2 linked regions of the Saccharomyces cerevisiae S288C genome follow. Changing the gene in region 1 together with any one later gene gives a genetic interaction. Each region holds a gene or a part of one and is shown in the gene's direction. Other genes may lie near its edges.

Evidence for each region. A genetic interaction does not mean that the proteins touch.
Region 2: mutations in KRE28 (region 1) and PRE7 together harm fitness less than expected from each alone (positive genetic interaction), as found in Saccharomyces cerevisiae (one large-scale study listed by BioGRID).

Annotation. Positions count from the first base shown.
Region 1 is NC_001136.10:1,498,896-1,503,356, reverse strand, and holds KRE28 (Kre28p), read left to right. Parts: upstream 1-2,803; coding exon 2,804-3,961; downstream 3,962-4,461. Other genes in the region: FIT1 (Fit1p), read left to right, coding at 1-43; HSP31 (glutathione-independent methylglyoxalase), read left to right, coding at 1,197-1,910; CAB1 (pantothenate kinase), read right to left, coding at 4,022-4,461.
Region 2 is NC_001134.8:138,738-143,060, forward strand, and holds PRE7 (proteasome core particle subunit beta 6), read left to right. Parts: upstream 1-2,509; coding exon 2,510-3,235; downstream 3,236-4,323. Other genes in the region: FUI1 (uridine permease), read right to left, coding at 1-1,523; ERD2 (Erd2p), read right to left, coding at 3,375-4,012, 4,110-4,131. UniProt on the Saccharomyces cerevisiae protein: Non-catalytic component of the proteasome which degrades poly-ubiquitinated proteins in the cytoplasm and in the nucleus. It is essential for the regulated turnover of proteins and for the removal of misfolded proteins.

The DNA of each region.
Region 1 (4,461 bases):
GGGTCTGATGGGCGCTGCGCTCGCTGCCGTTATCTTTTTGTAATTTCTGCTAACGACAGATGCGCAGAATCAACCTTTCTGATCTCTCCGTGGTCTTACTTTTCAAAATGGCATTGTGAATTAAGTATTTCATCATAGTTGATAAAGCTTATGTCCGCAATGTTATTTGTCTGCGTGACACTGGCTGTCTATAAGAATGTACCAGTATGTAATATTATATCAAGAAAATATCAGGTGTTGATTAAAATAATCTAAAAACAATGTCTATTTCACTTGTTAAATATGACTTTTCAAAAATAACCATTTTATTTATTTCTTGCTTTTTAAAAGGTGAGAGTGGGTATTTGTTTTATCTGACGCCAAGGAAAATAAAAGTTAAAAAATGACATGATGATTTTATAGTTCAAAACAAGAAATGAACTTTCGTGTTTGTGATCAGATTCAAATGGAGTATAATACTGAAAGAAGGTCGAGAAAGACAAGCAAGCAAATTCACAACTTCATTGAGCGCATTTTATTGAAATTACCTGTAGCAATGAGTAGTTCAGTTTGTCATATAATTATGTTTTTGTGAGAAATTTTAGCTTTTGGTACTGTGCCAGTTATCCGAATTTAAAAAAAAAAGTTATATATGGCTGTAATAATTTAGGTCAGAGAGAAGAAAACACGAAGTTTACTACGTGTATTAAAAATAGAACATTAAACATGCACCAAATGCTTTAATGAACACTTTCGGAAGAATAAGCCCATAAAAAAATCACGACGTACCGTTGCGACAGATAGGATCGTTCTTTCTAGGAGATTTTTTAGCTGCTACGGAATAAAAGAAATAATGCTGACTAATACGCAGGATATCCATGGGAGGCGGCTTTTTGTTCTGACGGATCCATAAATCCCGTAAAGAAATCTGGGCGAATGTATACAGAGAATTAACGTTACTCATTCCTAGCCTGAAAATCAAAAAGCTTGGCATAAGGGGCATGTACATAGTCTTCATGAAAGAAATGGAAAATTTTTTCAAGGGATGGCTTCACGGTTCCATTATTGCTTCCGGTTTCCGTTACCCTTTAAATCAGATATATAAACAGCCATAAGGAGAACCATTCATTTCTTTATCATCCGCTAAATTTTATTAACGGCATTTTTAAGTACTTCCCACTGGCTAATTACACAGATAAAACTCAAACAAATTTATAATGGCCCCAAAAAAAGTTTTACTCGCTCTTACCTCATATAACGATGTATTCTACAGTGACGGCGCCAAGACCGGTGTTTTTGTTGTAGAAGCCTTACATCCCTTCAACACATTCCGAAAAGAAGGTTTTGAAGTCGATTTTGTATCTGAAACCGGAAAATTTGGTTGGGATGAGCATTCCTTAGCCAAAGATTTTCTAAATGGTCAAGACGAAACGGATTTTAAAAATAAAGACTCAGATTTCAACAAGACATTGGCTAAAATTAAGACACCAAAAGAGGTGAATGCCGATGATTACCAAATTTTTTTTGCATCTGCAGGCCACGGTACCTTATTTGACTATCCTAAGGCTAAAGACTTGCAGGACATTGCTTCCGAAATTTATGCTAACGGTGGTGTTGTCGCAGCTGTTTGTCACGGTCCTGCTATTTTTGATGGGTTAACAGACAAAAAAACAGGAAGACCATTGATCGAAGGTAAATCTATCACCGGTTTTACTGATGTTGGTGAAACCATTTTGGGTGTTGATAGTATTTTGAAAGCCAAGAATTTGGCAACCGTTGAAGATGTTGCTAAAAAATATGGCGCTAAGTATTTAGCTCCGGTTGGGCCCTGGGATGATTACTCTATTACTGACGGAAGACTGGTAACAGGTGTGAATCCTGCTTCTGCGCACTCCACTGCCGTAAGATCCATCGACGCTTTAAAAAACTGAGCCAAAGGTTGATAATTAGAATTTCCTTTGTACTACTATATAGATGTAAGGAACTTTAGGAGGCGTTATTGAGTACGAGGGATGTACCTCATTGTTAATACGTTGAAATATTTGGATATTGGGGAAACACATGTCTGAGATGGGTCTTCCAATAACCAAAGTTTATAATCTTTATCTTTTATCTGCTTTAGCTAGAGGTTAATAGTGAAGACTACATTTGGTCTCCAACAAGGTGCTACAATTTATTTTTCAGCCACTCCGTTGCACAGCATTTATCTAGCCAACGTTAATATCAATGAGAATGGAGAAGAAAGCATTAGCGTCGTTACGCTGCAAATCATCTATGCAATATGTAAAACTATACATAAAACTTTCTAAATTTTTTTTTTTTCATTTTGGTATTTCTGTCAGCTGCCGATGCTTCCTAAAGGGTTTATTCATGTGGGACATTGTAGGTGTGTTTCAGTTATCTAATGGTTATTTGCATCTTAGTGAGCTGTTCCTTGCGGTTTCTTGCTAAATGATCACGAAAAATGTTTTTTTCTCAGGTTAATTATGGCAGAATGTCGACACGAATTGGTCATATTGAAAATATTTAGTAATGCCCATCAATTAAATTGAACGTTATATCATCCGGATAAACAATATCTTCCAGATTAAAAAGGAAAAATAATTTAGGGCATACGTATTAGGTTATTCAACCAGAAATTAGCATTTGGCTGTCTTTAATGCCATCGCTTGGGAACTAGGCAGTTAAATATAAGCACATGTAAAAAAAGTGAAGATCGCGTAACTCATTATTTATAAACACAAGGAGAATGAGCAGCATCAAAAAAACTTCAACCAATAGAAAAAAACATATAGACTAGCTTTAAAACAAAATTAGTGAAGAAATGGATACAGGGAGTGCGAGCATAAAGGACTATGAGACCGTGTTAACGGATATTGAGGATTCTATTGCTGTGAGCAGCGAAGAAGTGCTAAATAACCAAGAACTAAGGCTCAAAAATACATTGCACGAAATTACTTCCAGCATTCTGGCAATAAATGAAGAGAACAAGTTTGTGAATCCTCTTAGGAACGATGAGAGCTTAGACGTAGAGGGAAAGGAGGTCTTTGTAAATCCAAAAATTCTGAGTGCAAAAATCAAGGAGTTCAATAAACTAATGGAGTTACTTAAGTTGACTTACTTGGAACAGGAGACATTGGACTATTTCTTCAGGTTTACTTTGTCCTCGACGAAACCTTTGCAGTTAGATTCCGAAAAAGACCCCCAATTTGTAAAACTTAATGAAAGAGTTAATGATTTAAAGGAAGAAATTTCGAATGTTCAAGAAAGCAAAATAGAACAAATCAAAGCTGAAATCCAAGAGACCGGTCACAACTTTGCAGAAAGGCAAGATTTAATAAATGAGTTGTATCTGGAAGCCACTGGTGATATTGAAAATTGTTGGGATTCGCTCAATGAACTAAAAAATTTAACAAACAAAGAAGATAAGAATATGATGGGAGAAAAAGATACGATATTAAATTCAAGTGATTCAGATGATTTTGTGGAAGAGACATACACGAATTGGCAAAAACTACTATTTTTGCAGAAGCAAAATCAAAGGTTAACGAAAGAGCTCAAGGAAATGCATGAAGTTAAAAATCAAATAATACGAAAAGGAGAGCAATCAAAAAAAGAGGATTCTGGACATTTAATGGCCAATGAATCAGAATTATGTCAGTCAATTAATTTGCTAACAAAATTTTGGGAAAAGCACTTTTTACTCAAAGGGTCAAAGACGACTATATTAAATTTTGAAATCTTTACCCAGCTTGGAAAAGTACAATTTGAAATAAAGGATATGCAATATATAATTGCCATATCTTTAAGCGATTTAAAAAGGCCAATGATAAAAGACATTACTATTTTACAAAAAGCGGGTGGCAATATAGTCACAGACATTGAAGCGAGCAGTAAATTTAACAATAAGTACAGAAATAATACTAAGGTGCAAATCTTTGAGGTAATGGATGACATTATAAGCGAGCTAACAAACGAATAAATTAATTATCTAGATAAAGATGTATGTAATATTACTAGCCAAAAAAAAAGTGAAATCTATCTACGTACTTGTTTTCTTAGTAGATGAATGACGAGACGCGCTTAGGAAAGCACCCATTGCACCCAAATAGCCTTCATGTTTGAGAAAAAACGCTTGCTTTGATCCTTGTGACCAAAAATTAATAGCGTAGCTCAAAGTGTTCATGGTAGTCAAATGTCCTCTGGTATAAGATCCGCCAAAGTATATATTCTGTATATTATTGATTTTAGCTTGCAAATAAGCTATTTGCCCAATATTGTTGGAGATGGCGAATAGAAGACTTTTACAAATATCAGGATTCTTAAACATTTGTCCATTGTTTTTCTCAATAGACTCATGTGAGGAATATAATTTATTTTCGTTGTTTTCCAAAGATTTGTTAGATGTCATTCTATTTTGGAAAACTTTACCAAATGAACTTGCAATAGCTGACGACTTTAGACCAATTTTATTATAGTCTG
Region 2 (4,323 bases), on another chromosome or scaffold:
CTGACAATGAAGTAATCGGCTGATATTACACCCGCAATAGCACTTAAGAAAACTGCATATGCCGCTAGTGCCGTAGTAAACTTTGACGATGATGATAATAAATCCCAGGGGCAAATCGCCAACGATATTAGAGCACAAATATAAGAACCGCGTCTGATATTGATGAATTTAGGCAATAATGCAGTCAGATCGGTACCTGCAGGGATCGAGTTACCAGACAAGTTGGCACCCAGCTGGTCAAACGCAAAAATGAAAGATATTAAGAATACACCGGCTCTGTTCCCCGAAGTATAGTTATCCAAGTACCTGTTCAGAATGTCTAGGGGACTCCAATAATTTACTCCGTACAATGTATAAGCTGCGGAGACAGACAATATTCCGATTAAGGAAATAATGGCATAGCAGACGGGTAGCGCAATCAATTGCGAGTAAACAGATGACTTGTAGGTCTTACCGAATCTAGTGAAGTCAGGAGCGTTTAGGATTAAAGTAGAGAAGTTATCCAGAGCACTCATAATAGCTCTAATGACAGACCATGCTAAAACCGTCTTGCTGATTGCGCCACCATTGTCATTTAGGGAACCCAATGCCAAATGACCTTTGGCCTTACAAAGAGTCCAAATCAAAAAACCGAAGGCCGCAAATGGAGTGATGGCGGATTTGAGTGCAAATATATGACGCAATTTGTCAGGTGGAAACCATAGGAACGGTAAACATGCGACCCAGAAGACCATGAAGCACATGAACTCGAAGTTCGTCAAATTGGGGTTCTTTATGGTGTCTTTGATTCTAGTATTCAAATTAGTACCGAAGATAGCCTTTAGCATCAACTGAACACATTGACTACCGATATAAGCCAAAGTAGAATTCCAGACACATGCCATGACGACACGGTTGATGACAATCCAGATGGAGAAGTAGATACCAAATGATACTCTTGAGGAAATGGGGAAAGAGATATGGTAATTGTTCCCCACTTTGGAACCCAGTATCAAGAAAAATGCGACAAACGTGTATCCAACCCAAATACAGATCCAAGTCTGCCACCAGTTAAGCCCTAACTGTAGCCCAGTGGCTGAGATTTGCCATGTATTGACGTTAAAGGACCCAGAAATCCAAAAGAAAATGTACTGCTTCCATGTCCACGTTCTTCTTTTTGCCTCCACGGGCCGCAGATCTGTGTTGTACAAGTACGTCGAACGGAGGGACTCCTGTAAATCTTTAAATGTCCTAATTGGATTTTCGGGCTTATGATCGGCCAAATCGGTAGAGTCATTCTTAACCTCAAAAAACTCGACAACTCTTTGCAGCCAAGACACCTTTTCGTCATCCTGAGCAATGGTTATATTGTTTTCTGAATCGGTATCTTTTTTTTCAATGACATTAGCATCAATCTTAGAAGTAATTTTAGTCGCATCACCCATCTCGGACTCTTTCGTGATTTCTTCGTAATCCTCCGTCGGTATAGTGTCGTCCTTCATTGTTTTTGAAGAATTATCGAATCCAGAATCAGATACCGGCATTTTCTCTTATATAGAATTAATGAATGAGAGGACTAGTTACCGCCTTTTATTTCCGCAATGTGCTGCAAAGTAAAGCAAAGCTGTCCAATACTATGTTTTAAATTTTACAAGAAGGTCGAAGCAATACTACTGTTATATAAAAGATAGGATAGCATGTCATCGAGTAATTGAGCAAGAGAGGAAATGAAAAACTTTTCCGTTGGAGAATTGATCAAAAATTTTCAAAAATACGACATGTCCCTGTGTTGTCCAGGCTGACACAATAGTTTCAGTAGCGAGAACCGCCAAGTTTTATTGCAGCATCCTTTAATGGCAAAGATGGCGCGATAAGGACGAAACCGGCAAATCCCGAGCATCAACCACAGTGAACGCCGCGGAGAAACTCAAAGGCGAAAGGGGAGAAAAAAAGAAATTAATGGCACATACCGCTTTGTGGCATGGCTCAATCACATTTCTTTTTCTTCTTTCTGATCGCCCGCAGGAGAGGCAGCGCCGTTTGTGTCCCATCGCAAGGACAAACTAGCTAGGACATGAGACTTCTAAGCCGTTCAGTCGAAAGAGTTAGGGCATTAGTCTCTAAAGATAAGTGTGGGGGCTTGGTTGAGTCTTGATTTAAAAGCTTGGAGTAGGCATTTTACGATCTATTTTCTCTCGAAATAAAGTAAAGGTATTGCTGCAAAGGAATTGCCGTAATATTTAAAACTTCTTGCTTAAGTGATGTAAAGGCAGTGAGGCGATAGCAATGTTTCGTAGAGCCTGTGACTAGTGAAGCATAGGCAATAAATTGTTTTTTTTTTCTGATTTTGTATTGCCGTCTCTGCGTCGCAGAGATTTGGTGTTCGTACGGAGCGATAATTGTTTTTATCTTTTCCAACTTAAAGGATCGAGGAAACTCAAAGGGTGGCAAAAACAAGCGGTATAATACAAGGTGAACTGAGTTGGAAAGAGAGTAGCCAAGACTATTGAACTATAAAGTTAAACAAAATATGGCCACTATTGCATCAGAATACTCTTCGGAGGCGTCAAATACACCCATTGAACATCAATTCAATCCTTACGGTGATAATGGTGGTACAATCCTGGGCATTGCAGGTGAAGATTTCGCAGTGTTAGCAGGCGATACAAGAAATATCACCGATTACTCAATTAATTCTCGTTATGAACCCAAGGTTTTTGATTGTGGTGATAACATAGTCATGTCGGCGAATGGATTTGCAGCAGACGGCGACGCTTTAGTAAAAAGATTCAAAAATAGTGTAAAATGGTACCATTTCGACCACAACGACAAAAAACTATCTATAAACTCTGCAGCAAGGAACATTCAACATCTTCTGTACGGGAAGAGGTTTTTCCCTTACTACGTTCATACGATCATTGCGGGTCTTGACGAAGATGGTAAGGGCGCTGTCTATTCGTTCGACCCAGTTGGCTCCTACGAAAGAGAACAGTGTAGAGCAGGTGGTGCTGCGGCATCATTGATCATGCCATTTTTGGACAATCAGGTTAATTTCAAAAATCAATATGAGCCAGGTACAAACGGTAAAGTCAAAAAGCCTTTGAAATACTTGTCCGTGGAAGAAGTCATCAAACTGGTGAGAGACTCGTTCACTTCTGCTACAGAAAGACATATACAAGTGGGTGATGGGCTGGAAATCCTTATTGTCACCAAGGATGGTGTAAGGAAAGAATTTTATGAGCTAAAAAGAGATTAATGCATACATATCATAGTATAAAAAGAAATAGACCAATATCAACATCAATTTTATGTATTTTTTTTTTCTTTTGGTATAGCATTGATATATTGAAATTTGTATATATTGCTGCGAACACTATTTAAAACAGGTTTTTTTTTTATTTTGGCAGTTTGAAACCCTTTCCTCTGATGACTTTAGTGTAGTAAATGTAAAAGAAATCAGAGTACAACAGAGTTTGCAAAAGTCCCGCGAAGAAGGCAATCTTGTCCAATTTTTTATCTTCCGTGCTGTACCTCCAAATCCAGTTAGGAATATACAATGCTCTGTATAATCCCATGGCAAAAATATAATGAACAGTTAGACTTCTAGTCTTCCCACCCTTAGATAGCATGTACAATTGAGGTAGAATAGCCACACTCTCCAACCATACAGAAAAACTCCATGCTAATTCAAGAAAAGTGAACTTGTGATGGAAAAAAACACTCATTAGAGCACTCCCAATTAGTAAATGCTGGATCTTAAAGGTATCATGCATAAGCATTTCATTATACGCAATGGTGTTGGTTCTTTTAGACCCTTGTAATAGCACTACAATGTAAGCGGTAGATACAATGAAAAATATTTTCATTAGAGCATTGTATAGGGATACCCAGTGAAAAGTCAAGAGATCCAAGTATCGTGTTATGAAAACCAAAGCGTACAACGTTTGGGTCTTGAAAGAAATACCTTCAATGTACCTTGTGGTCTTGATATTATGAATCAGGATCAGTATACTGGTTAGATGTGATAAATCACCTGTCTTGATGGTCGGGAAAAAGCCCTTTCTCTGTTAGTAAGATTGGGTTCGATCTACGGCGGGAAAAGCCTCATGAAACTCCAAATAGTAACATACCTAAGATTCTAAACGGATTCATTGCTTACTGATTATGCCTCAACTTGCGCGTATATCTCACTCTTGAACAAGTGCCCTCAGCAAATTCATCTGCCTCGAAATTTGAACTTATTTTTAACGTGTTCAATATTTAGCTAAAACGTCGTTTTCAGTCCGGGTACCGCAGATAAGCCATCCCGGATCTTTAAAGGAAAACGAGGAATTCAGTGGTGCA